Sus scrofa: one gene and its partners. The protein of the gene in region 1 interacts with the protein of each later gene in a pairwise test. Links are inferred from orthologs where the notes say so. Each region holds a gene or a part of one and is shown in the gene's direction. Other genes may lie near its edges.

Region 1 (4,533 bases):
GGTCAGAGCACAGATTCCAGTTTTTATTGTGAAAACAGCCACTGTAGATCTACTAACAAGGCCCTACCCTCAAGGAACTTAGGGTCTAACTGGGAGCCTAAGGACATGGGAACAATACAAGATGATTCCTATCAAAGAGCCACAGGACGGTCTTATCTGGCCACGTGGGTAGGGTGGGGGATCAGGAGGCTTCCTGGAAGAGGCGCTCAGTGGATCTGGCTAGGCCGAGTGGGGGCAGGGGGAGGGCATCCCAGAAGCAGCAGCACAGGCAAAGGTATGGTGTGAGGTGGGAGTGGAGCGGATGTGGCTTGGCTGGGGTAGACGTGTTGGGGGAACAAAATCGAAATGGTCATAAGGGGGCTGGACCATGGAGTGCTCACTGTCAGGCCCCCGAACTTAGTCCTGACCCTGACCCTCCCTCCCTGACCCTTCAGCAGGATGTCACTGAAGACTCTGAGCAAGGGCGTGCCAAGAAAAAGGACTTCTGGGTGGCTGGCTGGGGAGAAGTCAGAGGTGGAGGCAGCTGTAGCACCAGGGAATGGAATGAGCCCCTGCATTTCGGTGGGGGTGAGAGGACGTGGGTTCTAGTCCCAAGTCTATGCGGACGTGCTGGGTGACCACAAGCAAGTTCCTCACCCTTCTGGTTCCTCCATCTTCTCCAAAAGCCCCTTGAGACCTCGACTGGGTGAACTGAGGTGTGTGGAGGGTGGGGTGTCACTTGGTTCAGTCTCTATTTTCTACTTTGCCCTTGAGAACCCCACCTAAGGAGGGTCCACACCCATGGTTCCCCGGCGCTTCGGGCCCAGATGGCTCAGCCTCGGGTGTGTCCTTGCCTCAGCTTTAGGTGCCTTTTTCTCACAGACGGAAAACAGGACCTTGGAGCCATGTGCAGCTGTGTGACTTCAGAGAAGGGACCTTGCCTCTTGCCTACTTGCGGGATGGCGGGAGCCACCAAGCCTGTGACTGTACAGCACCGCGCTCTGCAGGCAGGGAGGGCTCCTTGGCTGGTAACTGCCTTTCCTGCTCTTGTTCCCCCTCCGACTCCCTCCCATGTGTGGCTCTCGGCTGGAAGCCTCTGAGTCCGGCAGGGCCTCCTCTCTGGGGCTGAACATGCGCCCAAGGCCGGTGCGTCTCTGCCCAGGCTCGTCACGGGGACTGTGACATGGGCCACCCGGCCTGCTGAGCAGCCCCAACACTCACCCCGCCCTGGGCGGCTGCCCTGCGTCATTCCTCAGGGGACTGCCCAGCACCAGGGCCAGTCCCTCCCCAGGCACCTCTGTACAACCCAACCCACAGGGACTGCAACTACATTCCTCCCCCTTTTCTGTTTGATTGATTTTGGGGGATAGTTAAATACATTAAATTTTTTCAAAATTTAAAAGGCACCCCAAAGTATGTTATGAAAAAAAGCCCCTCCCACCACAGCATTCAGCCCCTTACTTCTTCCCGGAGACAACCCATCTAAATTCCTCCTAAAAACAATTAATCTTTTTTTTTTCTTTTTTCTTTTTGTCTTTTTGCCTTTTTCTCGGGCCGCACCTGAGGCATAGGGAGGTTCCCAGGCTAGGGATCGAATCAGAGCTGTAGCTGCCCGCCTACACCACAGCCACAGCAACTCGGGATCCAAGCTGCGTTTGCGACCCACACCACAGCTCATGGCAACGCTGGATCCTTAACCCACTGAGCAAGGCCAGGGATCGAACCTGAAACCTCATGGTTCCTAGTCGGATTTGTTAACCACTGAGCCACGACGGGAACTCCTAAAAACAATTAACCTTAATTTGGCGGCCCCTCCTTACAAAAATCATGAACGTTCAAAGTAAAGATTAACAAAACCAAACCCCACCACCCTGAAACAGACACAAAAGTACAAACTAACAACCCCCACCCCACCCCACCATCTGGATTTCCAGCCTTTTCAGTTTTGTCCTCCCAGACAGTTTGCAGTATCTATTCACTTTTGGAAAAATGAAAACAAAAGACAAGCTGATTATCACAATATTGACTTTTCCATATCTTGCCGGAACACTTCCTCCTGGTTCCTTCCTTATCAACAACGCTGATAGCTTTATGACCTTCCACAGAGGCTGCCTTATTTAACCAGACCCTGGCAATGGACATTTGGGGATTTCTAGATTTCCCTGTTATAAGAAACACAGTGATGGGCCCCCGAGACCTCACTGGCTACTTGTTTTATTTTCTTGTGACAAATTCCTAGAAAAGGAAATGGTAGGTCACAAGGTACGGCCACTTTTCAAGACCCATCAATCTGTCCTGATGTTCAGCAGGACTACGTGTCTGAGCCAAGTTCGGTTACCTCGAGCCAGGAAGTCTTGGTTCACACCCCTCTCAAGAGGAGCTGTGTGAGCTTCCATCCCCACCTCCACATCCAGACTAAGGCCACAGCCCTCCTCTGGACCTGGTGACCTAAGGCAGGTTGCCCCAGCCACCACGCCGCACCTGGGCCCATCCCAGTCCTGGATGAGTCAGCTGACCGGGGAGCAGGAACCCAGCTGGAACAAGGGCCACCGCCTTCCAGGGAGAGGAACAGACTCCGTTGGCAGTGGTTGGAGGAGGACAAGCAGCAGCACCTGGGCTGCAGGTAAGAGCCGGGTGCGGGGCCCCTAGAGCTCCGGAAGGGATCGGCGTGACCTGCTCTCTCCTGGCTTCTTCCCTCCTGGTCCCAACCCTTTGGGGACTTTCAGGCCTTTTCCTCTCAGGGTGCTTCTCTCTGGCAGTGAAACATGAACTGGGGTTTCCTCTTCTGACCCCAGCCCCGGGCCAGGTGTGACGGTTGGGTGATCTTCACCCAGACATGGCTAGGACTCTCCAGGCTCCTTCAGTCTGCCCGGGACTGCGCTCGCGGCTGGGACCCACACTTTGCTCCTTGAAATGGGCCCTTGGCAGGGCAAAGAGCACTTTCCACAAGGAGCCGAGTGCAGGCCTCAGTTTCTGTTACTTCTCTGCCTGAAGCTGTTTCCATCCACAAGCTCCCTGCCACGGCCAGGAAAACCTGCTGGGGAACTGGGCCGGCGGCCTGACCCGAGAGCTGGTTTCCTCTGTGGAGACTCCCACGCAGTCGGGGGAACTGAATGAGGTAATGGATATAAGGGCCCCGTACGTGCCCTCCACACAGTGAGCCTCAGAAAATGGTGCTTAAGATGGGGCTGCTGTGTGCCGGGCAGGCCCTGCGCTGGCCCAGACTCCCACCAGCTCTCCCCGCATCACTTCTCAGCTGGGCTCCCTGCCCACTGGGCCCCTCTAATCCATCCTCCAAATGAAAGTTAGACGTCACTCTGCTGCTCAACATTCTCCAGTGCCTCCCATTTCGCTGGAGTAAATGCCAAGCCCTCAGCATGACCCACAGGCCCTGCTGGATCTAGCCCCTCTCACCACCCCTGCAGTCGCCTGTCCTATGCTTCCCCTCTCAACAACCGACTTTGGTCTCCCTGCTCAGATATTTCCTGAACACAACAGGCACTCCCACCTCAGGGCCACTGCCGTGGCTGTGCCCTCAGCCTCAACGCTTCTCCCTCCCCATTGAAACTTTCACTCAAAAGGCATCTTCCACCCCCATCTCCCCCACCCAGCAGGGAGGCTCTTCGGGACCTCCGGGCTCTGTCTACCTCCCCCACCCGCCCCCGCCCTGCTTCATCTTTCTCCCCATCACGTCCTACCACCTAACACTGCACAGGCACTTACTTATTCAGCTAGGACGTGACACTCAAGGGCAGATTTTTCTTTTGTTCCCTGCCTAATTACTGGTACCCAGAACAGTACTGGGACTTAGGCACTCAGTAAATGTACTGCATGAACAACAGCTAATGACTACTGCGTACCCTTTATGTGCCAGTGCTTCCCATATATGTCTTATCTCTTTTAAGAAGCTTTTCATCTCTACGATAACACTGCGATGCAAGTATTGTTAAGCATATTACAGATAAACGACATGCCAAAAGGACATGTCCATGCTTGCTCTGCTAAATCAGAGGCAGCAGTCTGAACCCATCCTGCTTGCCTCTGAGGTCCTTGCTCCCACTCTGCCCCTCCTGGACAAGGATTCGGGAGTGTATCTGCATCCACTGAAGAAGTCCACAGCTTTCCTCCAGCAGGCAGTACAGCCTGAGAGGAGGGGAGTACATGCTGGTGGCCTAGCAACAGCCTCTTCCTTTCCGACTCACCATTTCTCTGGGCTAATTTGGCCTTCCAGGAGCTATTCCTCTGACACTCTAACCCACGCTTCCCTCCCGCACAGTCTTTTGAAGGATGGATGAGCTGTCCACAGGAACAAGTGGGCGTCCTGTAGTTTCAGCTCTTTGGAACAAAGCGTTCCAAAGGAGTGTTCTCACTCCAAAGTCCAAAGATGGGGGTGGGCGACCCCTTTTCGGCCCTGCTGGTTTCTGAGGACCTGATTGCTTTGTTGGGGACTTGTTATTGTTCAGAATATCAAAAAGTACAGAAGTTCAGGGATGGAAATCTTGGAAAGGGCAGTGGGAGGGGAACATTTCTCTGGGTAAGATAGATTGGACAGGT
Region 2 (2,952 bases), on another chromosome or scaffold:
TGTTGGTTCTAAAAGTGCTTAGTATACTATCTGGTAAGCAACGTGGGTTCATTGAGTGTTAGTTGGAGTTGATATTATTAAAATTAGTAGCTCTAGGAGTTTCTTGGTGGTACAGGAGGTTAAGGATCCAGCGTTGTCACTCTAACGGCTTATGTTCCATTCCTGGCCCAGGAACGTCCAAATGCTGCAGATGCAGCCAAAGAATATGTGTATGTATGTATATTAGTAGCTCTAGAAACCTTTATTTAGGCTTGGGGGTGGAGAGGTAGTTATTAGCCTGTTTCGCTCTGATTCGCTCCCTGTTTGACTCATCAAGCCACATGGTCCTCCTTTTTGTGGCGCTCCTTGATAGAAGGTCTGGTTTTCCTAGAAGGCATTGGGCTAACTCTGTCCATTTCCCTCACGCAGACAGACTCAGCCAGAACTCCCAGCTGAGCCACGGTTGTCAGAAGACAAGTCCAGCTCTGAAGATGATTCTGACCTTTTTGTTAACACCAACCGCAGACAGTATCATGAGAGTGAGGAGGAGAGCGAAGAGGAGGAGGCAGCCTGAGACCCCGGACCCACTTCTCCTCTGGCTGAGACTCGCCCTTGGATCCTCTGAGCTTGGACATTCCCAGGGTGCTTTGCAGATCTTTCCCCCTGGATGGGGACAAGGCAGGGCCCCTCTCTGAACTGACCTTCTGACATGGGAGAATTAAACCCCTGGTGGGTGGTGACTTAAGCTGGTGTCAGAGTGGCTCTCTGGAGGGAGGAGGGACATGTGGGTAAAAACGGCCCCTTTGGGAGTTCTCTGATGGCCTAGCTGGTTAAGAATCGGACCTCACTTCTGTGGCCCAAATCACGGCTGTTGGGCGACTTTGATCCCTGGCCTGGGAACTTCAGCTTGTTGCGGGCAAAGCCGAAAAAACCCAAACTGCTCTTTGGTGGTAACCTCATGGGCAGGAATGGCTGGAATCTTTCCTAGGTTTCCTCCGCTCACTGGGCTCTTAGTAAGTGCCAGGCCTGCATGTGCTTAAGAACTGGGAGTGTCCCCTTCCCCCATTGCCTGCTTGCAGTTAATGGCAGTGTAGGCATTCAGGATCACAGTGGGACTTGGTGCCCACCTGCCTCCAAGAGACACTCAGGGAGAGTTTCACAGTGCCTCGCAAGCTGCTTTCCCCGGCTTTCTAGTCACATGATGCAGGAGTGCCCACTTCCCTGCTGCTGTGTACGTCTCCTGGTTGGTGGTTTCTTTGGCTACTCCAACCATCACTGCTCAGTCCCCTTGCAAACCACATCATCCCATTTCTCCTTGGAAGGTTTTTCCCTCTGACTGTACATTCTCTCTCCTCTTCGCTGGCATTGACCTTTTAGTCACTGCTCAGACATAGAGGTTTACCTCCTGGCTTGGAGTCTTCTACCCCTGCCTCTGATACTGTTTTCTGCATCCCATGGGTGGGCTGTTCCACACCATGGCCCCCTCGTTCCTTGATCTCCCCGTCACTAGTGCCCTTGTCTTCTATTCTAGGCCTGTTTCCTGTATCCCTGGTCACTCCGGACCCCTGACATTACTAGAAGTTGCAGTGCCATTTGAATCGAAACACCAGTGCCGGCGCCACCTCCTGGCTTTCTTGCTTACCCGCTCAGCTACTTCCTCTGCAGAAATTCTTTTTCGTCCTCCGGCCCTGCAACATTCTCACCATCATTCTCCTGTCTCCCCTCCTTGCGCAGCATCATTGCCCTGTGTCTGCACCCTGGACTCCCCCTCTCCCTCCATTACGCTCATTCGTAAAGCCTGCCCCTGGTCAGCCCAGTCACACACCTCTGTGCCTGAACCCAAGTAACTGTGAGGGAAGACCGCCGACCTGGCTCACTCGTTGGACCTTAAATTCATACTTGCAAACCACAGTGGCTGCTCAGCACTGCCCAGCAGGTCCAGCCTGGGATGTCTCACTTGAAGACTCTCTTGTTTGCCAGTTCCCCCTCCCCTTCTGGTTACTCACCGCAGCTCTTACTTCGTGAAGAAATAGTAGCCCTGGGAGGGAGTTACCGCCTCCCCATTACCAACCCTGCAAATGTGTCTTCCTGCCGTTTTCCTGCCCGGGCTTGCTCCAGTGGGACTTGGGCTTTCCCTCTTGTGCTTTGGAGCCTGTCCCTTCCTGTTTAAGGACGAATGTGAGTTTTAGGTTTTGCCATCCTCTCTACTGCATGTGTCAGCATCAAACACGCTGTAGACGCTCCCATCTGAAAAACAACCATGAAACCTGTCACTGATCCCACGTCCTCTGGCTACCACTTCATTTTCCTGCTTTTACACTTGCTTAGTGTAGTCTTAAATGTATACTCTGTGTGTGTGTGTAGGTGTACACACACATAATAGAAATATATGAATATGCATCTAAATGCAAAAAGCTAACCAGGTGAGTTAAAGATATGCGTGTGTGAGTATATTTTTAACTTGTCTGAAGTTTATGTATTATGGGAGATGGCTGACTTTTTTTCTTAAAGGGATAGCCGCTTGTCCCTGTACCATTTATTGGATGGTTCATTCTCACTGATTTAAAATGTCTTTTTAAAATAAATTCAGTGCCTGCATATTTCTGGATCTCTTTGGAATCTGGTCTGTTGATACATGTGCACATGCCATGTTTTATAGCATGATTGATACCTCATTCCCCCTCACCTTTGCCCCACCATACCTAAGAACTTTAGAGTGAACTTGTCAATTCTCGTCGAGACGTTCTCATGAGATTTCCATTGGCATCGTTTTAAATCTCATAGTTTGATTTGTAGAGAAGTGGTACTTAACAGTTTTGAATCTTCCCATCCAGAAATGAGTTATGTGTGTTCTTTTTAAAGATACTGTCTTCATTTGGGTCTTTCACCTTTCTAGTTCAATGTAGACTTAGGGAGTTTAGAGCTATTTGTCACAAATGGGCTCTTCTGAAATTACATGTCCAACTACCACTG
Region 3 (4,042 bases), on another chromosome or scaffold:
TTTGATTGTGTAGTCCAGCTGTAATTTTCTTCTTTTAACTTAACTTTGGCATTGTTTCAAACAGGATAGCTGTAAGAATAGCACAAAGAATTCTTTTGCTTTTCAACTACATTCCACAAATGTTAACATTTTACTACATTTGTCTTTCCAATTCTCTCTTTCTCCCTCTTTCTATATATTCTCTGTCTCAGTATATGTATGTGGATATATGCAGGTAGACATGTTTTTTTTTCCTAAGCCATTTTGTCATTTGTGTACATGTTGCTTCTTTGCCCCTAAATACTATTAACATATTTCCTAAAAAGTAGGATGCTCTTTTTCTTAACTATAGTACTGCCAGAGTCAGGAAATTAACATTGCTACTCGTAATCTATAGACCTAATTTAGATTTCACTAGTTTTTCCACTTACGTCCCAGATGTTGTACTATATTTAGTTATTTTTATTTTTATTTATTTTTTTTGTCTTTTTGGGGCCACACCCACAGCATATGGAAGTTCCCAGGCTAGGGGTCGAATCAGAGCTGTAGCTGCTGGCCTACACCACAGCCACCCCAGATATGAGCCGCACCTGCAGCCTACACCACAGCTCCATGGCAATGCCGGATCCTTGACTCACCAAGAGAGGTCAGGGATCATACCTGTGTCCTCATGGATGCTAGTCAGGTTGGTTAGCCTGAGCCACAATGGGAACTCCCTGTATTTAGTTATCTCCTTTAATTTGAAGTTATTTCCTTAGTGTTTGTATTTCATAACATTGGCATTTTTTGGATGCCCCTTAATTTGGGTTTGTTTCCTTATGTATAGGTTCAGATTTTGCAGTTTGCATAGGCATATCATGGAATTGCTCTATTCATAGTGTATCACATAGGGGGTCCATGATGTTGATTTGACCCGTTAGTGGAGAGTTAACTTGATTACTTGGTTAAGCTGGAGTCTGCCATATTTCTCCACTATAAAATGGTAACCAATAAGTATTTTTCCCAGAGTTCACAATCTTTGATGAATGTATGTTTATTTAAAAGTTACGCACGTGTCTTTTTAGCTAACTTATTGTGCACATTCTAAAGCAGTTACAAAAATTAGAAATTAAAGGATGAGATAAAAATACAGAAGTTCTCACTTTTTTTTTTTTTTTTGTACCCCAGTGTATCCTTTTATACCCTGTGGGGAATATACTTCTGGTTTATAGATTAGAGCTCTGTATCATATCCTTTACCTTGTATGATTTTATAGGAATTATTCTTGTCTTGATCCTGAAATAAAAGCTCCTTGAAGGTTATGGTCTCATATTTCTGTAGTTTTTTTGTTTTTTTTTTTTGTCTTTTTTTTTTTTTTGTCTTTTGTTGTTGTTGTTGTTGCTATCTCTTGGGCCGCTCCCGCGGCATATGGAGGTTCCCAGGCTAGGGGTGGAATCGGAGCTGTAGCCACCGGCCTACGCCAGAGCCACAGCAACGTGGGATCCGAGCCGCGTCTGCAACCTACACCACAGCTCACGGCAACGCCGGATCGTTAACCCACTGAGCAAGGGCAGGGACCGAACCCGTGACCTCATGGTTCCTAGTCGGATTCGTTAACCACTGCGCCACGACGGGAACTCCCATATTTCTGTAGTTTTGACATAGTAAATACTCAAAAATAAATGCTTGACAATAATGGTTTTTCCCTATTACTTTTAATTTTCTTGCTTTCAGATGGAGAACTTAATGTTCTAGATGATATTTTGACTGAAGTACCGGAACAGGATGATGAACTATATAATCCAGAGAGTGAACAAGATAAAAATGAGAAAAAGGGTATGTAAGATTTATTTTTGTTAAAAATAGCAGTGTAAATAGCAGTTTAATTTCTTAGAGTCTTTGCTTTTGTACTTATTCTTTATGGCGCTTAACACCAAAAGCACAATCATAACAAACGGTACCCAATTCCGTATAAAAGTAATATATTTTTTTTAAAGTTTTGAAATGTCTCAAATAAATGATTTTATTCCAGTGCTTGAAAGCTGTATTTTCTTTATGATTAACTTTGGAGTAAAAATACTTCAGAGGACATTTTAAAGAAATGAGACTTTTTTCCTCCGATAGATTTACCTGTTAAACTTTGTTGAAATAAGTCAAATACTCAAACTCTTTTATATATTTTTTTTAAATTTTATTCTTAAGGATCAAAAAGAAAAAGTGACCGAATGGAGTCTACTGACACAAAGCGACAGAAGCCTTCTGTTCATTCAAGACAGTTGATTTCTAAGCCACTGAGCTCATCAGTTAGCAATAACAAAAGAATGGCTAGTACAAAAGGAAAGTCAGTCACAGAGTATAAAAATGAGGAGTATCAAAGATCTGAAAGAAACAAGCGTATAGAAGCTGATCGGAAGATTCGTCTGTCAAGCAGTGCCTCCAGAGAACCTTATAAGAGTCAACCTGAAAAAACTTGTCTGCGGAAAAGGGATTCTGAAAGGAGGGTCAAATCCCCTACACCAGATGGTTCTGAGGTAGTAAATACTATTACAGATATAAGACAGAAAGCAATTCTTTTTTGAGGCTAGAACTATTTATTCACTCTGACCTTGTCTGTTATATGACTGCTGATTCCCTTTTTCTTTAAACATCAGAGAATTGGGCTTGAAGTGGATAGACGTGCAAGCAGATCCAGCCAGTCTTCTAAGGAAGAAGTGAACTCTGAAGAATATGGCTCTGATCATGAGACTGGCAGCAGTGGTTCTTCTGATGAGCAAGGCAACAACACGGAGAATGAGGAGGAAGGGGTAGAAGATGTGGAGGAAGATGAAGAGGTAGAAGAAGATGCAGAAGAAGATGAAGAGGTGGATGAAGATGGAGAGGAGGAGGAGGAGGAAGAGGAGGAGGAGGAGGAAGAGGAGGAGGAGGAGGAGGAGGAGGAGGAGGAAGAAGAAGAATATGAACAGGATGAGAGAGACCAGAAGGAAGAGGGAAATGATTATGATACTCGAAGTGAGGCTAGCGACTCTGATTCTGAGTCTGTTTCCTTCACGGATGGGTCTGTCAGATCTGGTTCAGGCACAGATGGATCAGGTACTGACTTTTATGTGTAAAGGTTTGTCTTTTTTTTTTTCCGATTGACTTAACTTTTTTTCTTGAACATGCTTAAATTGAATTATAAAATTTTTGAGGCAGTGGGGGAATGTTAATAAGACTGCCCTATGATTTTTTTTTTTTTTTGACATGGTATGCTTTTGAGTATTATAAATGCATTTGAATAAGGTTTACATAGCTTAGTAAAAGTGTTTCCCAGCTACAAATTGTATTATAAATGTATGTTAGTCTAATTATTTCTCTTTAAGGAAATGTATTTGAGGTTTTAATGTTATTCTTAGATTTCCATACTAAACAACAGCTTATTTGAACACTGATGTACTTGAAGTATATTCATGTGGAACCTGTCTTCTAGGCGTTAACAATATTTTCATGTTAAATGCCTCTAGATTTCCATCGTGTGGCAACAAAAATCAAAACAACTTACTTTCAGAGTTTCTTGTGGCACAGTAAATTCAGGATCCAGCATTGAACTGCGGCGCATGGGTTCAATCCCTGGCCTGGGAACGTCCACATGTGGCCAAAACAAACAAAAACAACTTATTTTTATCTTGGGAGCATAGCTTTTCTTTCAGTTCTATACCCGTGGGTTGACTGACTGGATCGGGGTCTCTAGAGGGCTGGGTGTGAAGGTACAAGATGAAAAATAAGAGCATAAAATTCTTGGAGGGGCTGGGTAGGAGCCATCTTGGGTCATTCTTTCAGTACTACATGCCCTGCCACTTTATTTCTATCTGCCCCTGAGACTTTTTGTTTTCTTTTTGTCTTTTTAGGGCTGCACTTGCAGCACATGGAGGTTCCCAGGCTAAGGGTCTAATCAGAGCTGTAGCTGCTGGCCTACACCACAGCAACAGCAACGCCAGGTCGAAGCTGAGTTTGCCACCTACGCAGCTCCTGGCAACACTGGATCCTTAACCCACTGAGCAAGGCCAGGGATCGAACCTGCAACCTCATGGTTCCTCGGATTCATTTC
Region 4 (4,042 bases), on another chromosome or scaffold:
ATTCCACCACTTAAATTAAAAATCTAATCAGGAAGATTGTGGTGATTTGGAATTGTGAAATCTATTTTTCTCTATTTTATTTTATAAGGAAGTAATAAGGAATTAAACTCATATAAAAGATTTTTTAAAAAATTATTCACTTACAACCTGGTCTCATTTAAACTACAAAAAGAAAATTATTCCTGCTGTATAGCACAGGGAACTATATCTAGTCACTTGTGATGGAACATGATGGAGGATAATGTGAGAAAAAGAATGTATATATATGTATGTGTGACTGGGTCACTTTGCTGTACAGCAGAAATTGACAGAACGTTGTAAACGAACTATAATTAAAACATTTTTTTTTAAAAAAGAGAAAATTCCAGAGTTCCCGTCAGTGGCGCAGCGGTTAACGAATCCGACTAGGAACCATGAGGTTGTGGGTTCGGTCCCTGCCCTTGCTCAGTGGGTCAAGGTTCCGGCGTTGCCATGAGCTGTGGTGTAGGTCGCAGATGCGGCTCGGATCCGGCGTTGCTGTGGCTCTGGCGTAGGCCGGTGGCTACAGCTCCGATTGGACCCCTAGCCTGGGAACCTCCATATGCTGCGGGAGCGGCCCAAGAAATGGCAAAAAGACAAAAAAAAAGAAAAGAAAAGAAAAGAAAATTCCTCTTCACAATAGTTAACCTTCATTAAAACCCAACTCGACATTTAGCACATCATATAACCAACAGGCAGTAGACTATGGCTTAGCTCTGGAATCTTCTCTCCCCAGCCATGTGACGTGGGTACCTATGCTTCTCTAAGCTTCACTTCCCTTCTTTCAAAGTGAATTAAATACTAGTCTTAGCTGTCCTGGCAAGTTGGCAGGATCAGAGGAAAAAATATAAAAATGCCATGAACACTCTGGAATGCTCTCCATTTAGCTGAGACTCTCACAATACCCTGTTCTCTAAGTGCTGGGTTAGTTGGCAGTTGTATGGAACCAGGGTAGCACTGTTGTCACCTTCTCCTGAGCGCCCCCACCCCCTCCCCCGCCATGATGTCTGTGGGCCTGGCATCGGGGTATGTCACGCCCATGAGCTTCCTCTTTCCCTGTGCTGCCACATGTGAAAGGCCTCCTGAACCTCAGTAAAAGACAGCCGAATGGCATCTGAGCTTGGAAGTAATTCTCAGCTTTACATTTTAATGAGATCCAATAAATTGGTCAGCCTGAGAACAGTGTTGTTGAGTGTTGAAATTTAAAGTCTGAATGTGGCTTGTCATCTGGCACTTCTGTCAAAACAGCTGTATTTCTTGAGCCTTTTCATCTCAGAGTGTAAAGCCAGCTTTTTACGTGCGATTTTCCGCCACTGGACCACTCAAGTTTTTCCTTCATACGCAGGTGTTCACGTAAGCACAATTTCCCGGCATCAAGTCCCACCCTTCTTATTAAAAGCATGTTTACGACATTTGGAATGGAGCAGTGCAGAAGGGACGACTACGACCCCGACGCAAGCCTGGAGTACAGCGAGGAGGAAACCTACCAGCAGTTCCTGGACTTCTACGACGACGTGCTCCCGGAGTTCAAGAACGTGGGCAAAGTGGTCCAGTTCAAGGTGGGCATGCGCAGTGCGCGTGGCGGAGCGGACGGGTTCACTTCTCCCTGAAGCGCGGGGGTGGGAGGGGCGTTGAGAAAGTTGGGGCACAGGCCCTGGGCCTGGGTGGGGCGGAGCGTGATGGTGCGGCGCCCCCCACTGTTGGAAGGAAGGTTTACTCCCGTTTCTCTCCCTCTCCACCCTCCTCGTTGCCCAGAAGGTGGAGGTAGCACATGAAATCATGACCGGGTCCCAGCATGCCGGTTCCTGGGTTCTCAGGGGAAAGGATCTTTTCAGCCATTCCGTACCTTTATGGTCCAACTCTTTTTTTCCAGCTGCCACATTTTGTGCATAAGGTCCTCTGCCGATAGCTGTCCCAGCGTTCACTCAGAGGCTGGCGCCATGAGGAACGCGCTGCCTCCCTCCCCGCCACGGTCGGTCTCCCCTGAGCCCGGCCTGCGCAGTGGAACATTCCCCAACTTAACTCCACACACCGAGATTGTTGATTTGTCCTTGCTGTATTGTGTTGACCGTGCCTGCTTGCAACTTCCACCCAAGGTGCATGTCCTTCCTTCTGGGCTACCCAAGAACGTAAATCGTGATGCCCCCCCCCCACCCTTTTTTGGTCTTTTTAGGACCGCACCTGCGGCATATGGAGGTTCCCAGGCTAGGGGTCTAATCGGAGCTGTAGCCACCGGCCGACGCCACGGCCACAGCAACGCCAGATCTGAGCCGCATCTGCAACCTACACCACAGCTCGGGCCAACGCGGGATCCTTAACCCACTGAGTGAGGCCAGGGATTGAACCCGCAACCTCACGGTTCCTAGTCAGGTTTGTTTTCGCTGTGACACGACGGGATCTCCGCCTCCCCCTGCCCCCCCCCCTTTAATGTTGTCTTCTCTTAATAGTTTGGGATGCAGCATTGGGGGTAAAAGGCATTCAGATGACACAGAGTTATTTTTTAACATTCTTTAAAGCAAGAGTCAAGTCAGCTGTAATGACTTGCTCCCGGGCTTGAATCCTGACACAGGGAAGCCTTCTGCTGTCTGCAATTTGATCCGATCTGAACCTGAATGATTTCATTATGTTGGGATGGGGGAAATGGCCCATAATTTGGGAAAGATAGGAATAAAGCTCTGAAGTTTTTTTTTGTTTGTTTGTTTGTTTGTTTTTTTGCTGTTAGTTGGACATGACAGTGGGAATTGGAACAGCCAAGGAACAGAGCAACTGCTAACCAGCAGCACTCTTGAGATTCAAGGCCATCCTTTCTACTGATTTCAAGATTTTAAAAAATTCTTTGGCAGTTGCTCTTTTCCCTTTACCTTTTGTTTCTGTTGCGTGCACTTTCCTGTCTTCATACTGTTTCTCGCTGCAGCCAATAAACACTCAAGCGGAAGTGCCCAGCCACACGCATCTGGGTGCCCATGAGAAGCACTGCTGAGGAGTTGGTGTGCTGGCTAGTCCTGGGCTCTTGAACACGGCACTGTACCTCTTCGTACCTTGTCCTCATCCCGAAAGTACTCCATCAGTGTTCTTGTGGGGTCCCTACATCATACTGCTTCTGGGAAATTAGAGGTGGAGCTGCTTTCAAAACCTCAGACTGCTCAGTGGAAATCACCCCATTGTTGCGAGTGCAACCGGCCGCACTTGCTAACCACGGGGTGTTTTGCTTCCTTTTGTTGAGGATTCTGTCAGCCAAGTTCAGCTAATCACATTGGCAGTTATAAATGGAAAGCTGTTTAATAAATTTTCAGTAGAAAAATTTCCAAAATATCAAATTCACCATAGAAAATTAATAACAGGTCTTAGGAACTGTTGGCTTAAATGACCTCTAAAGTCCTTGGTGTGGCTGATTGGCCTCCTGAGGCCTTTCAGTCTTCCCTCTAAGAATGGTGTTATAAACTGTCAGTCGGTATGGCTCCTGCCTCTCGTGGGATGCTCTAATAAAAATACTCTGGAACAAAATTGTAAAAGTATAGATTTATTTTGAAAATGAAAGCTAAGTATTAGTATGAAAATTTGAGGACCTTTTTATACCATGACATAAAACCAAATCAGGTTTGTCATTGTCGAAGGCAAATGATCAGATATTCAACCTCACTAGTAATGGGACAGTGCATATTCGAATGAGATGTTATTCATACCCATCAGTTAAAAAAGTATGCATTCTAATACCAAGAGTGGGCGAGTTGTGTAAATTAATAAAACCACGTTAGAGAGCAGTTTGTCGATAATCTAGTAAGGTTAAAGGTACGTGTAGCCTATAAATCGGCATCCTACTTCCGGTCATGCAGGCTAGACGAAGTCCTACCATTCGGGCATGCTGACTGCAGTACTGTTTATTGATGAAAAATTGGAAGCACCTTGGATATTCCTCCTTAGCGGAGTGGATAAATAAATCTGATAATCTGATATATCCAGTATACAGCAGTTTAAAATGAGTCATTAAGTTTACATGATTACATCTTAAAAAAAAGGATGTGGG
Region 5 (4,042 bases), on another chromosome or scaffold:
TATAGCCCCTCCCTCCCACCACAGACTCAAGTATTTCCCCCCCTGGGCTGGATAAGCTCCTGACAGACCTGATCTTCTTAGCGGGCGGGCGGGAGGCCACCCTGCCCCTCTTCGAGATCAAGTATAAAAACGCAGCCCTGGCTCCGAGAATCCAGAGGAAGGCACTGTGAGACTGGGCTCTGACTCTCTGCGAGCCACCCATTCTACCTTAAAAAAATAAACCAACAGATTTCTAAATGTGAACATCTGCCACAAAAGACCAAGTGAGAGGGTTGGAGGGAGAGGTGTTCTTCCCACGGATGTGACCGCGTGTGGCTAATCCCCAGAGGAAAACGTGTTTCTCACATATTCCGGGCATCTTTTCGGTCAACATCTCTGGCTTCTTTCAGTTGATAGACGTAGTTTCCAGCTTGTCCCCCCGACCTTCCATCGCAGACTGCAGCTCCCTTCGGCATCTCAACGCTTGCCTTCCTCCTGTCCCCTCTCCCCTCCATCAAGACACAGAATAGACCCAGAAATGAGGGTTGGAAAGCTCTAGGCCATAGCTTCCATTTGACAGGTATTTTTTTCATTGTGGAACCTCGTTATGGAAGTACATTTTAAGTTTTGCAGCAGACAATTTGGCTCATCTTTGCAGCTGCTTCTGCCTTGTGTGTACAGTGACAGTCCATTTCTTGGTGACTGATGGTTTACGCTCCTGCTTAGGCCACAGTGCCCCTAGCGGCTGGTTCCTTCACCGTTGCGGTGTGGGCTCGTCTTCTGTCCTTTGTTCTCCTTGAGGGGGCGCTGGCTGCTCCTGACGCCTGCTGGTAACCGCCCCCATCAGTTCCCGTCCTGGCTCAGTTGTGGCCCAGCGGGTTAAGAATCCGTCTAGTATCCATGGGGATGTAGGTTTGATCCCTGGCCTGGCTCAGTGGGTTAAGGATCCAGCGTTGCTGTGAGCTGTGGTGTAGGTCGTAGTAGACTTGGCTTGCATCTGGCGTGGCTGTGGCCTAGGCCGGTGACTGCAGCCTGTGGTCTTGTCCGTGTGGCTCCCAGAACAGCCAGGTTTGCTTTCCTCTGGATTCCCTGCTAGGCTGTAGCTGATCACGTGTCCTCTCCTGCTAACCTACCCATGGTGAGCAGAGGAAGGGGTCCTGGGGTCAGGGGCCTGAGTTTTGTATGTAAAACAAAGTTTTTCCAGGTAAACTGCCCTCCAGCAGGGCCCCTGGGTGCAAGAGGCCTCCAGGAGAGACCCCCAGGGCGGGTCTTCTTTCACCCTGCAGCTGCAGCCAAGGAGGTACATTTCCATTCAAGGCGGAGTGCGTGGAAACAGCCCTGATCCTTGCTGCACTGTGCCCTCTGCGGCAGAGCCTCAGAGCCGGGGAGGGGGGTGGGGGAGATGGTGAATTCACGCAGGAGAATTCTCCACCAACTCATTCGTGCTGAAGCATCCACAGATGAAGTCCTAGCCTGAGACAGGTTATACTGTATCAGTTTACTTGATCCTGACCTTCGTGGTGGGGAAGCAAGTGCTGGGCCGGACGGTTGTTCTCCATACTTACAATGCAAAACGACAGCCGTCTTTCAGAACAAAGTGGTCGGGAGATGGCGTAACCCTGGAAATGTCCCCTGGCTTCTGGCATGCTTTCAGATGAAGTCATGTTTTGCTGAGCACACCTGTCTCCGTGAAACTTCTGAATGGGAGTTATGTGTATGTGAGGGCCCCCTTAGCCACGGGGCAGCGCTCGGGAGCCCTGGGTTTGGGGCGCCCTCCAGTGACCCAGCGCCCGGCCTAGGGACACCTGGATGTGAGCCAGTAAGGGGCCATAGCCATGCCCGTCCAGTCAAACCGAGGGGAGCGTCCTGCTCTAACACCTGTGGAGACATTGTTAGGCCTCTGTGGATGCTTTTTGTGCAGTTATTTTTAGGCCTCTTCTCCACTTTTAAACCTCCCCGTTTGCTGTGTCCTTATTGTATTTGGGGGCCTGAAATAGTCCGCAGCACATACCTCGGGGCATTAGAGAGAAAGAGGACACGTGTGTGCCCTTCAAGTTACTGGAAAAGGCAGGAGATTTCACTTGACGCGCCCCCAATGCTTCATCTCCAGCGCCAGCCCACAAAGTGTAAGTCCTGGTTCTGCCCCTGTGCCACCTTGGGTCAGTTACTTAACCTCTCTGAGTCCCAGGACCTCGTGTAAGGTGTGAGCCTCGGTAGTCCCTCCCTCAGGGGTTGCTGCGAGGGTTAAATTGGTTGGTTAGTGCTTGTTAAGCTCTTAGACTAGGGCCCGGCATGAATTACTTCACACACACAAGTGTTAGCCATGTTGTTGATAATTTTACTTGCTGTGGTGGTGGAGTTTTATGTGGATTGCTGTTCAACTTTGGTTCTGTTCTGGTGTTATTTTCCGATGAAAAGTTAGCTGTGTGAATCATATATTTTGGAATAGAAGTTTCAGATTGCAATGATAATTACCTTTTTTCCTTTTTAATTTTTTTTTTCCCTAGAACAAGACTTAAAACCTGTCTTGGATAAGAAATATTTAATCAATCATTTAGCTAAAAATGGTATTTTTTACATGCAATGCATGCGGTGAATCAGTGAAGAAAATACAAGTGGAAAAGCATGTGGCTCTTTGCAGAAACTGTGAATGTCTTTCCTGCATCGACTGCGGTCAAGACTTCTGGTGAGTTCCAGAGGGTTCGTGTAGCTCCATGGTCAAGGTCCAGGCCAGTTTGGAAGCCCTGGACCCACAAAGCATTAAAAAAAAGTGGAGGCAAACTTGAGGAAAGAAATGAAGGGAAAAAATTACAAGTGCCTTACAAGACCATTTGCTTTTAAGGGTGATTTACAGAGATGACTCGGGTTCGTTTGGAGATCTGGTCGGCCGGTGGCACTTGCTGTCATTTCCCTGCGGCCCTCCAGATCCAGGGAGGGGACCACGTGGAGTAAGGTTTCAGGGTTTCAGGGCATGGTGTGGCGATCGCAGCCGAGAGATGGACGTGCAGACCAGAAAATGAGTTTATTCAATCATTAAATCATGAGAGAGGAGACCAGGTCCTCCCGAGAAAATTGGAGGTCGTGTTGGCCGGGAGTGCGTGGGGGGCTCTGGCTGAGGGGTCTTGGGGAGGGGCCAGGTCTTGCTCTTGTTTGGGGGGGCCATTTGCTGATGGCTCGCCTCCCTCTCGTGCGGGTTCCTTCCAGCTTCAGAGGATTCGGGGATGGCAGCCTCTGGGGCACGTGGGGGATGTTTGCTAAGAGTCCCTTTAAGTTCATTGTAAAGCAGTGATTTTTTTTTTTTTAAGTTTGGAAACTACTAAGGTCTTTGTTCATCCCTGATCGTAGGCGGAGGGTGGGGAAGACAAGTGAACACAGGGTTGGTTTTCGTCGGGGGCTTTGGCCTCAGCCTTGTCCCAGCATTTCCCAGAGGATGGCACAGAGCTTCAGAAAGAGCGTGTGAGACAGAACCCAAGTTTCCTTTTGTCCCAAGACTCCAAGATCCAGGACTTTTTTGTGACCTGATATCACCGCCCTTTTAACTTACTCTGCAACTGGTATTGATTGCCTATCATATTGCCAGGAAATCCTACGGATTTTGTCATTTAAGATAACGCCACCCTATTGCCTATCAGTGATTTTAACACCTTTGTATATGAAAATGGGTGGCAAGTTTGGTGACGGGTTTGGAACAGTGGGGAGGAAGGAAACTGGTATGACCAAGAGGTTATCTGCCTGGTACGTGACAGAGATGGGGGGCCGGGCCGCGCACAGATGGGAAGGTGAGCTGCACGGCAGAAGGGCAGCATGCTTGCGCTGGACAGAGCCTCTGGTTTGAGGATCACTAATGGTGGGACTTTGACACTTTAAGGGGTGACGACTACAAAAACCATGTGAAATGCATAAGTGAAGATCAGAAGTATGGCGGCAAAGGGTATGAAGGCAAAACCCACAAAGGCGACGCTAAGCAGCAGGCGTGGCTTCAGGTAAGGTCTTTCTAATGCCTCAAGTAGCTTCATCTGTCATCTTCTACTTTCCTTGGAAGCCTAAGAAATGAGGAAAAATG
Region 6 (4,823 bases), on another chromosome or scaffold:
ACATTTATTTTGGTGTGTCTCTCATAACAACACCCAATGCTCCGCAAACTTGTTTTTTGTATTTTTGCTCCCTGTACATTCTTACCACACATTTTTTTTTTTTGACTTCAAAAGAATGACATCTTTAGAACTGTTTTAGAGCCAAGGATGGTATATGTTTTAGATAATTACTACATTGTTCTAAATATAACCATGTAGGAGTTTCCTCTTGGCTCAGTGGGTTAAGGATCCAGTGTTGTCACTGCTGTGGCTTTGGTTACAGTGGTGGAGCAGGTTCAGTCCCTGGCCCAGGAATTTCTGCATGCCATGGGTGTGGCCAAAAATTAAAACAAACAAATATAACCATGTAATTTTTTTTTTTATTTTTAGGGCCGAACCTGCAGCATACGGAAGTTCCTGGGCTAGGGGTGGAACTGCAGCTGCTGGCCTATACCACAGCCACAGCAATGCAGGATATAAGCCCCATCTTCAACCTACACCATAGCTCATGTCAACACCAGATCCTTAACCCACTGCATGGGGCCAGGGAAACCCACATTCTCATGGGTAGTAGTCCAGTTCTTTTTTTTTTTTTTTTTTTTTTTTTTTGTCTTTTTGCCATTTCCTGGGCCGCTCCCACGGCATATGGAGGGTCCCAGGCTAGGGGTTGAATGGGAGCTGTAGCCACCAGCCTATGCCAGAGCCACAGCAACGTGGGATCCGAGCTGTATCTGAGACCTACACCACAGCTCATGGCAATGCTGGATCCTTAACCCACTGAGCAAAGCCGGGGATCGAACCCACAACCTCATGGTTTCTAGTCAGATTCGTTAACCACGGAGCCACGACGGGAACTCCAGTAGTCCAGTTCTTAACCCAGTGAACCGTGCAGGAACTCCTAACCATGTAATTTCGAATTTAAATAAATTTCTATGCTGAAATAAAAAAAGAAAACACGGTCACACCTATGATTATGCACAAACTTGTACACGAATGTTCATAGCAGCAATATTCATAATAGGCAAAACATAAAAACAATTCAAATGTCCATCAGTTAATGAATGGATAAACTAAATGTGGAATATCCAAATAGTGGCATATTATTTAGTACTTCCTTCAGAAAAAAGAATGGAGTTCCCTTGTGGCACAGGAGGTTAAGGATCCCAGGTTGTCACTGCAGCAGCTTGGGTCACTGCTATGGCAAGTGTTGACTCCTGGCTTGGGAACTTCCATATGTGGTGAATGAGGCCAAAAAAAAAAAAAAAAAAAAAGAAGAAGAGGCCATTGCAGCATTCCCGTTGAGATATGATGGTAGGCTGGAAGCAGAGAAGATTGAAGAGAAGTAGAGAAATTTCAGATTTATTCGTGAAACAAACGGACCCTTCCCGATGCTGGAGCGGGAAGAGGGGAAGGTGAAGGAGAGAGCCATCAAGGATCACCTCCGGCGTTTCTGCTTTGTGCAATTCGACAGATGGCGGAGCTATGTAGTTGATACAGGGAATCCTAGGAGAGATTAGAAATCTCTGTATTTCTCCCAAGAATGTTTCTTTACTTTCTATGGACGCTGACAGAGGCGGCAATATTGAGTTTTAGGGTGAATATCGGCAGCTCCCCGCCCTTCCTTAAGCTGTGTATATATATCTGTACAACATTTATCATGGTATATTTACTTTATAAGGTGTGGCACCCACTGGACTAAGAGCTCAGAGGTCAAGGGTTGAATTTCCTCTAGGTACTCACGAACTTGCTCTGAAGCTGGCCCCGCCCACCCATAGCCCCGCCCCCAGGCATTTCCGGCCCGCTCGCCCTCTGCACCGGCCTCACCCCAGAGCGCCCAGCTCCGCCCCCACTGCAACCATTGCCTTTTAGCCTAGTGGGGACTAGAGTGATTGACGAGCATGTTCTCCAATCCTAAAGCCCAATGTTGTTATATTACCAATTCGGAGGCAGCAGAGGCGGATGCCAAAGCCTAACGTGAGAGGGTGATCGGGAAGTGAGAGTGGAGGCTGCGGAGGACGCCTCCGCCCAGGCGGTGGTATAAAGCTGACGGGACGTCAGTATTCTGTTCCTTTCTTTCTCCATTCCTGGGTGAGACGCCCCTTCGTTGCTGGGGAGCCGGGGTCTCCACTTGCCTTTTTTAAAGGGTAAGAGGGTGTGTCTAACTATATAAGCGTTTGAGGATCTTTCCTGAGCTGCCTTACCTCCTTTCGCCTCCAGGCAGGTCCTTCTGTTAGCCTGGGGTGCGGGGTCCTGTCTCCCGTCACCCATCCTTGGGGATGGTGAAGTTGTTTCAGATCCCTCCGCAGCCTATGGTGGTTAAAGTCTTCCGGGCTCGGTCAAGGAAAGGGAGAGGAGTGATGGGGATAGCGAGATTCGCGCACTCAGCCCCTCTCCCGAGGAGTTAGAATCCGCAGCCAGAGCGAGTGGAAGGTGGAGGGAAACTAGGTATTGGGGGCGAAGGAGCGGGTGGAAGGAGACATTTCTTATGTAGCGAACCTGTTAGTTCCCTGGGAGCCTACAGTGGGGCAGGAGGCGTTGAAGTTGGGCTTGGTGTCTAAATCACCCACCCACTTCTGGGCCGTCAGCTTTTAACCTTCATTTCTTTCTCCTCAGGCTGGTGAAAACCCCTGAACATGTGGAATCCCAATGCCGGTAAGTGTTTGGGGAGAATCTCTTCTCCTGCCCCAGTCCCTTTTCGGATGGGCCACAACAGGAAGTTTGTGTCCGTTTCTCCTCCACCTCTGCCCTAACCTACAAAAAAGCAAAGTCCATAGCTGCCCAGTGTCTTCCCCCAGAGTTCACTGTCTCCAGGGAACGTTACCTTTTCTTTCTCTTGTATAGGTTTGTCTCCCCTCCCCTCCATGCTCCTCTTTCTTCAGCTTTACATTTTTTCCCCCCTAGGGCCACACCTGCGGCATATGGAGGTTCCCAGGCTAGCGGTCCAATCGGAGCTGTAGCTGCAACTGCGCCACAGCCACAGCAACGCGGGATCCGAGCCGCGTCTGCGACCTACACCACAGTTCACTGCAGTTCCTTAACCCACTGAGCGAGGCCAGGGATCGAACCCACAACCTCATGGTTCCTAGTGGGATTCGTTAACCACTGAGCCACTACAGGAACTCCTCCATTTTCCTTTAAGTATTGAGTGAAAAATGGAATCCCCTTCTTTTTGTTGTTTGTTGTCAGAAGCTCTGGGCAGTTCTAATCTTAAATTTATTCTTTGCTTTTTCCACCAGGGCAGCCAGGGCCAAATCCTTACCCGCCTAACGTTGGATACCCTGGAGGTTGCCATCCTACCCATCCACCATCTGCCAACCCTCCCTTTCCTCCAGGCCCCCTTCCCACTCCTCCAGGAGTGCCCCAGGGGAATCCAGCTTTTCCCCCTGGCGGGCCTTGTTATCCTGTGCCACAGCCAGGGCATCCAGGATGCCAGCCCTCAGGTCCCTACCCACCACCTGCCCCTTGCATGCCACCTGTGAATCCATTGGCTCCTGGCATGGTAGGACCAGGCATGGTGATGGACAAGAAGATGAAGAAGAAAATGAAGAAAGCTCATAAAAAGAAGCACAAACACCACAAGCATGGCAAGGTCAGTGCCCTCTGGAGCCTGGCTAGGAAGAGGTGCCCCCTCAGAAGGACTAGGGTGGCTGGAGGTGGGAAGAGAGGTAGGTGGCAGGGACAAGGAATGGGGATTCACAGTCTGAGGACTTGGGACAGGGCATTGTGTTACTCTGGCAGATGGTGCTTCCTTTTTGTAAAGGATTCCCACTGCGAAGAATTTAATAATCTTGAAAATAATTATTAGGCTAATTGGGCCTTCTGTCTGCCAGGGGCTATGTTGAGCCTTAGAATGGCTATCAGAATCAGGTGCTTTTCTTTTTTGCCTTTCTTTTCCCAGAGCTTTGGCCTCCCCACCCCCATGCTTGTTCTGGCAAGTGGGACACACCCACTGAGGTGGTCAAATGTCAAGACCTTTGGCCAAGCAAAGTCTTATGTAATGATAGATAATAATCTGGTCCTAGTTCCTGGAATTTCTTTCTCTCCTTCACTGTTCTCAGCTTGTTGTATTAATTACGTAGGTCTTCTTGTCCAGCAGGGAAACTGAGGACAAGAGCAGTCAGTGACTCAGGCTCCAATAAAACCCTCAATTTCGTGCTCAGTCTCAGGCTAAGTATCTTCATGCCAGAGGAGTGTAAATTAGCAAGTAGCTCTCAGGACCAAGTAGTAAAAGTAGCTCTCAGAACCAACTCTGGAAGAATTGAACCAACCTTGAGATATTTAAAAAAAATTTTTAGGGCCACACCTGAGGCATATGGAAGTTCCCAGGCTAGGGGTTGAATCAGGCACCACAGCCACAGCCATGCTAGGTGCAAGTGGTGTCTGCAGCCTACAGCGCAGCTCACAGCAACGCTGGATCCCTAACCCACTGAGTGAGGCCAGGGATTGAGCCCGAATCCTCATGGATTCTAGTTGGGTTTGTTACTGCTGAGTCACAACAGGAACTCCCTTTTTTCCCCCTTCTTCTTCTTTTTTTTTTTTTTTAATTTTTAGGGCAACCTTGATCTTAAGGAGGCCTTAATTTACATTTTTCTGCTTAGCAAATTTTTTTTTTTTTTTTTTTTTTTTTTGTCTTTTTGTCTTTTTTGTTGTTGTTGCTACTTCTTGGGCCGCTTCCGCGGCATTTGGAGGTTCCCAGGCTAGGGGTTGAATCGGAGCTGTAGCCACTGGCCTACGCCAGAGCCACAACAACGCGGGATCTGAGCCAAGTCTGCAACTTACACCATAGCTCACGGCAACGCCGGATCATTAACCCACTGAGCAAGGGCAGGGACCGAACCCTCAAC
Region 7 (4,531 bases), on another chromosome or scaffold:
TGTTAGGATTTTAGTTTTACTCTGAGTGAAGCGAAAAGCCATGGCATGTTTTCAGCAGAGGTTAACATGATTTGATGTTTAGAAGGATTCCTCCGGCTGCTGGACTGAGAATAGAATGAGCATCTGAGAAAAGAAACAGGAATGCCATCAGGATCCTACAGCAGGAATACTAGGTGAGAGAATAACAGCTTAGATCAGGAGGTAGTGATGGAGATATTTAGAAGTGGTAACAAATCTGGGTTTATTTTAAGGATGGTGCCAGCAAAGATTTGCTGACAGCCTGATTGAGGAGTTTCAGGAGGGGACATATATTCTTCAGCTAAGCCTAATAGAGCAGAAGGAGAGATGTCATCCATCACTACCTCTATCTTATAAGAACTCTAGTTAAAAGCCTGGATTCTGATTTTAAAATCGGTTTCTATCACTTATTAGAGAAGTTTGTTTCCCCATCTACAAAATGGGACAATTAACAATTCCTACCTCTTAGGCAGTGACCAAGATTAATGGAGTTTTCATATACAAAACACTTAGTACATGGCTCAATAAGTGTTACCTATTCTTCAGTTGTTAATACTAGTGCAGAGAAAGAGTTTTCCCCAAAGCAAGTTGCCCCAAGTCCCAAAGCGAGCTAGTATCGTTCATTTCCTTCCTTTCTTTCTTCCTTCATTCATCCATCCACTCTTTCAACTTTCCTGAACGTTTATTCTATGCTGGATCCCTGGAAGATTTAGGATGCGAAAGCCCGGGGCCCAGTTTTAAGATCCCTCACTAATTCTAACGCCCCCTCACAGGGCCATCGAGACGCTGAAACGTCAAACGGGGAAACGTAGCATCGCAGGGTGTTGACCGCTTTAACAGGTTTTTCTGCTCTAACTCCCTGGTGTGAGTCCCGTTCCGCCCCCGCAGTGCAGGGAAAGGGCCGGTACGGGATCTCACGGTGGAGCACTGAGGAGACAGGAAGATGAGCTGAGGGCCGAAGGCCATCTGCTCGTTTACTCACCGCTTGCAGCAAAGCTCCCGGCGCCGCCTGCTGCTGCCCGGCTCCCGGGCCCGACCCCGCCGCTCCCAAAAGCAATTCATGCCGCTGCCGCTTGACTGGGACCAGAGGCAACTCTGGGCCCTTGCGCTTCTGCTGTTCTATCATGGCGGCAACCGCTCTCCTCAGGCCGCCACTGACCGCGCCGACACCCTCAGGGAGCGCACGATTGGCTCCGACTTAGTCTTTCCCTTAGAACTTCCGGCTTGGAGAAACCAATCGGCTTCCAATACTCCCCTCTGCACCGCCCCCTGGGGAGTCTCCAGTTATTGGGCAACTCATTCTGATGTCACTAGAGTACGATTCCAGGATTGGTGGAACGAGCTGGAGTCCCGCCTCGGCGCGCTGGGTCTTGTGGGTGGAAGCGCGCTGACTGGGTTCTGGCGTTTCGCGCAATGCTGCGGCGGGGAGACCTGACGCTAACTCCGAGTAAGTGTTGGGGGTGGGTGGCTGCGGAATCTGGAGGCGGCGCCTCCGTTGTGTGGTCTGAAGCTGGCCTCTCTCAGCCCAGGGTTGATCGCAGAGGGCAGAGGGGGCCCCTGAGTTCCTAGCTCTTGGTGTATGGTGGCCTGGGTTCCCTTTCTAGGTTGGAGCAGAGCAGTGGGGTCTCTGCGCCTGCCTGGGGCCCTCGACGGCTGCTTTCTTTAACAAGCGCCTTCTGTGTCGAGCCCTGTGCCAGGTGCTCCTTGGGAGAAAAGGTCAGTTTCCCAGCCTCCACCAGGGTCGTCTCAGACTTTGGAGGCCGACTTCTTTCTGCCGTGATACTGCAGCCTTTTACCAGCGCCTGCTCTGTGCCCCTGAGAGAGAGAGAGGGAGAGAGAGAGAGAGATGAAGGAAATGTCCGACTCTTGGTCTCCAGAGCACAGTCTTGGCTGAGAAATTCAGACTCATACTTGTGAAGTAGGTTTTCTCCTTAATCGTTCAACTGATATTTATGGTGCAAAGCTTTGAGGAGACATTGTGAACCAAACATGGTCCCTGACCTCAGGGCTTTGAGTCCGATGGGAAAAACAGATGCTCAACAATGATCTTTATAGGGAATGCAAAGTAAGTGCTGCCAGGGAAAGGTACCTGGTGTTTTGAGTGCCAGAAATAAGCCGGAAGACTTGTCTAACAAAAAGATGCCTGAACCTATGCCTGAAGGAAGAATTCTAATTAGTTGGGGGAAGAGAGGAGGGCAGAATATTCCATATAGAACAGCATGTGCAGAGGCCCAATGGCAAATGAGAGGAAAATGACTAAAAGGTACAAAGAGGCCAGTGTTGCCAGGACAAAGAGAATAAAGGGGAGTGTGGTACAAGATGAAGCTGGAGGCAAGTGGAAGCCAGACTGTGTAGGAATTTGTAGCTTTTCTTTAAGACTGATGGGAAATCACTGAGGTTTTATTTTGTATTTTGCAGTGGAGAAGGTGGTGTGATGGAGGAGGCAGCTTGGTCCTTCTGGCTCAGTAGTTTGAATAGATTGGAGGGGAGATAAATGCAAATAGACCGCTGAGGTGAGAGTTGTTAGCAATGAAGACTATAGAGTGTTGGTGGAACTGAGAGGTAGATATTTTCTAGACTCCTTTGCACCTAAGATGAGAATTGAATTGGAAGGGAAAGGAGGAGGGTGAGAGGCATCCTCCTTTGCTGGCAAATACCATAGTAGAGGCAGTGGGTTTCTTAGTCACCAGCTTTTTGGTGTTGTGACTTTCTGCAATGATGGCCATAACTTTTTTTTTTGGTCTCTTTTTTAGGGCCTCACCCAAGGCATATGGAGGTTTCCAGGCTAGGGGTCAAATCAGAGCTATAGCTGCTGGCCTATGCCACAGCAACGTTGGATCCAAGCCAAGTCTGCGATCTACACCACAGCTCACGGCAAGACCAGATCCTTAACCCACTAACTGACTGAGGTCAGGGATGGAACCTACGTCCTCATGGATACTAGTTGGGTTCATTAACGCTGAGCCATGACAACCCTCTGTTAGGTGGGTTAGGAATTGTTCCTCGGAAGTTCTACCAGTTCTTACCATAGCTCTTTCAGTAATTTTGTAAGTCACATAATACCTGCCGGTAAATCCATTTCTGCTTAACCCTAGCTAGAATGGGTTCTGATATCTGCAGCTGTACTCCATAAGGGTAGGGATATTGCCAGTTAGGTGGGCTATAAAGAGGGAGCATTAAAGGGAAATTAGGTTATTGTTTGAATGGTGGACTGTGGAGTCTAAGCTGGATAGGGAGGAAAATGAAGAAAAAGGAGAGGGCTGCTAGATTGGAAGAAAATAAATGTCAATAGATTGGGGTTCTATTGAGGTCAAAGAACAGTATTCTCAGCTAGAGGACTTCCGTTTATCCTTAAAGGCCCACCCAGTTGTCACCTTTTAATGCTCCTAGTTTTCTTAATACTTTGAACCTAATCACTGTTTTAGCACTGATCATCCAGCATTGTAATTGGTCTTTGAGGACAGGGACTATGTTGAGAAGGCTGGTTTAGTGACAAGTGGGTGTGGCTCTTGGACTGGCCTAAGATTTATCTCTTTCTAGCTATGAGTTTTGGACAAGTTACTTTGTTCCTTTAAAAAAAAGATACCTACTTTGTAGAACTATTTGAAGGATCGAAAGGTTTATAAAGTGCCTTGTACAGATATATATAACATTTATATTAATGACATTTATGTAAATGCCAGTAAATGTGCTGAATTGATAACAATTTAAAATAGAGTAAAATTAAGTAGTTCAGTATTTCAGTAGATGGTTATAAATTTCTGTGTGCTTTGTACTGTGCTTAGCACTGGAGATTTGAAGGATATGGTGATGTGGGCATGCTGGGAAGAATTTCACAGTCTAGAAAGAAAAAATGCTCATAAATAAGATTTGAATCCCATCTCCATCGGTCATGTTTGTAATAGTTTTGTAATCTTGAGCAAGATTAACTTAGCTTCTCTTGTGTCTTAGTTTCCTCATCTGTAAAATAGCAATAATAATTGCCTATCTTGTAGGGAGGTCAGAAAGGGAGTTAAATTAGTTAAGACAAGTGAAGCTTTTAGGTTGATGGCAAATAGGAAGCACTCAAATATTAGCTATTATTTTTAGATGATTTGGGAGGGACTTTAGAGATTATTGACTGAAAGACCAGTGTGGGGCAGTAGAGTAAGTACTGGTCTTTTGGTCCGGTACCAATAGGGCTAAAACTGTAAACAGCCCTTGTCAAGTCACTTGACCCCTGTTAGCCTCATTTTCAATTAAGAGTAATGGGCTGAATGATCTCCATAATTGAATTGCTTTCAGCTTTCACTGTTTATGAATCTATCTTTGTTTTTCCTTGCTTTTTACTCTTTTTCCTGCTTTTGACATTTTGCTCAACAGATCCACAACCAGAGTTCAAAATGGAAGAAGTATCCGTCTAAGATAGTCACTCTAGAGATTTGGTGAAAAGAAGGAAGATTGGGCAGCCAGTTTGGCTTTTCTTCTTCTTCTTCTTCTTTTTTAGGGCCTCATCATTATCTGGAAGTTCCCA

The links.
Region 2: the proteins of SDCBP2 (region 1) and EIF1AD interact in a two-hybrid assay, tested with the Homo sapiens proteins (3 studies listed by BioGRID and IntAct). The two-hybrid records come from large-scale screens. The link is inferred for Sus scrofa from reciprocal best matches to the Homo sapiens genes SDCBP2 and EIF1AD.
Region 3: the proteins of SDCBP2 (region 1) and YTHDC1 interact in binary tests that used the Homo sapiens proteins (3 or more experiments, as listed by UniProt). The two-hybrid records come from large-scale screens. The link is inferred for Sus scrofa from reciprocal best matches to the Homo sapiens genes SDCBP2 and YTHDC1.
Region 4: the proteins of SDCBP2 (region 1) and ZRSR2 interact in binary tests that used the Homo sapiens proteins (3 or more experiments, as listed by UniProt). The two-hybrid records come from large-scale screens. The link is inferred for Sus scrofa from reciprocal best matches to the Homo sapiens genes SDCBP2 and ZRSR2.
Region 5: the proteins of SDCBP2 (region 1) and LYAR interact in binary tests that used the Homo sapiens proteins (3 or more experiments, as listed by UniProt). The two-hybrid records come from large-scale screens. The link is inferred for Sus scrofa from reciprocal best matches to the Homo sapiens genes SDCBP2 and LYAR.
Region 6: the proteins of SDCBP2 (region 1) and PRR13 interact in binary tests that used the Homo sapiens proteins (3 or more experiments, as listed by UniProt). The two-hybrid records come from large-scale screens. The link is inferred for Sus scrofa from reciprocal best matches to the Homo sapiens genes SDCBP2 and PRR13.
Region 7: the proteins of SDCBP2 (region 1) and ZCCHC17 interact in binary tests that used the Homo sapiens proteins (3 or more experiments, as listed by UniProt). The two-hybrid records come from large-scale screens. The link is inferred for Sus scrofa from reciprocal best matches to the Homo sapiens genes SDCBP2 and ZCCHC17.

The regions. Positions count from the first base shown.
Region 1 is NC_010459.5:33,965,613-33,970,145, forward strand, and holds the start of SDCBP2 (syntenin-2), read left to right. Parts: upstream 1-1,462; 5' UTR 1,463-2,602; intron 2,603-4,533.
Region 2 is NC_010444.4:6,337,539-6,340,490, forward strand, and holds the end of EIF1AD (probable RNA-binding protein EIF1AD), read left to right. Parts: intron 1-408; coding exon 409-553; 3' UTR 554-2,587; downstream 2,588-2,952.
Region 3 is NC_010450.4:66,096,155-66,100,196, forward strand, and holds part of YTHDC1 (YTH domain-containing protein 1), read left to right. Parts: intron 1-1,692; coding exon 1,693-1,794; intron 1,795-2,160; coding exon 2,161-2,489; intron 2,490-2,609; coding exon 2,610-3,048; intron 3,049-4,042. UniProt on the Homo sapiens protein: Regulator of alternative splicing that specifically recognizes and binds N6-methyladenosine (m6A)-containing RNAs.
Region 4 is NC_010461.5:12,356,690-12,360,731, forward strand, and holds part of ZRSR2 (U2 small nuclear ribonucleoprotein auxiliary factor 35 kDa subunit-related protein 2), read left to right. Parts: intron 1-1,363; coding exon 1,364-1,577; intron 1,578-4,042. UniProt on the Homo sapiens protein: Pre-mRNA-binding protein required for splicing of both U2- and U12-type introns. Selectively interacts with the 3'-splice site of U2- and U12-type pre-mRNAs and promotes different steps in U2 and U12 intron splicing.
Region 5 is NC_010450.4:6,083,979-6,088,020, forward strand, and holds part of LYAR (cell growth-regulating nucleolar protein), read left to right. Parts: intron 1-2,486; 5' UTR 2,487-2,543; coding exon 2,544-2,665; intron 2,666-3,847; coding exon 3,848-3,962; intron 3,963-4,042. UniProt on the Homo sapiens protein: Plays a role in the maintenance of the appropriate processing of 47S/45S pre-rRNA to 32S/30S pre-rRNAs and their subsequent processing to produce 18S and 28S rRNAs. Also acts at the level of transcription regulation.
Region 6 is NC_010447.5:18,658,912-18,663,734, forward strand, and holds the start of PRR13 (proline-rich protein 13), read left to right. Parts: upstream 1-1,902; 5' UTR 1,903-2,123; intron 2,124-2,179; exon of another isoform or gene 2,180-2,424; intron 2,425-2,592; 5' UTR 2,593-2,612; coding exon 2,613-2,631; intron 2,632-3,215; coding exon 3,216-3,644; intron 3,645-4,823. UniProt on the Homo sapiens protein: Negatively regulates TSP1 expression at the level of transcription. This down-regulation was shown to reduce taxane-induced apoptosis.
Region 7 is NC_010448.4:87,878,397-87,882,927, forward strand, and holds the start of ZCCHC17 (nucleolar protein of 40 kDa), read left to right. Parts: upstream 1-1,330; 5' UTR 1,331-1,465; intron 1,466-2,430; exon of another isoform or gene 2,431-2,531; intron 2,532-4,531. Other genes in the region: SNRNP40 (U5 small nuclear ribonucleoprotein 40 kDa protein), read right to left, coding at 1,001-1,144.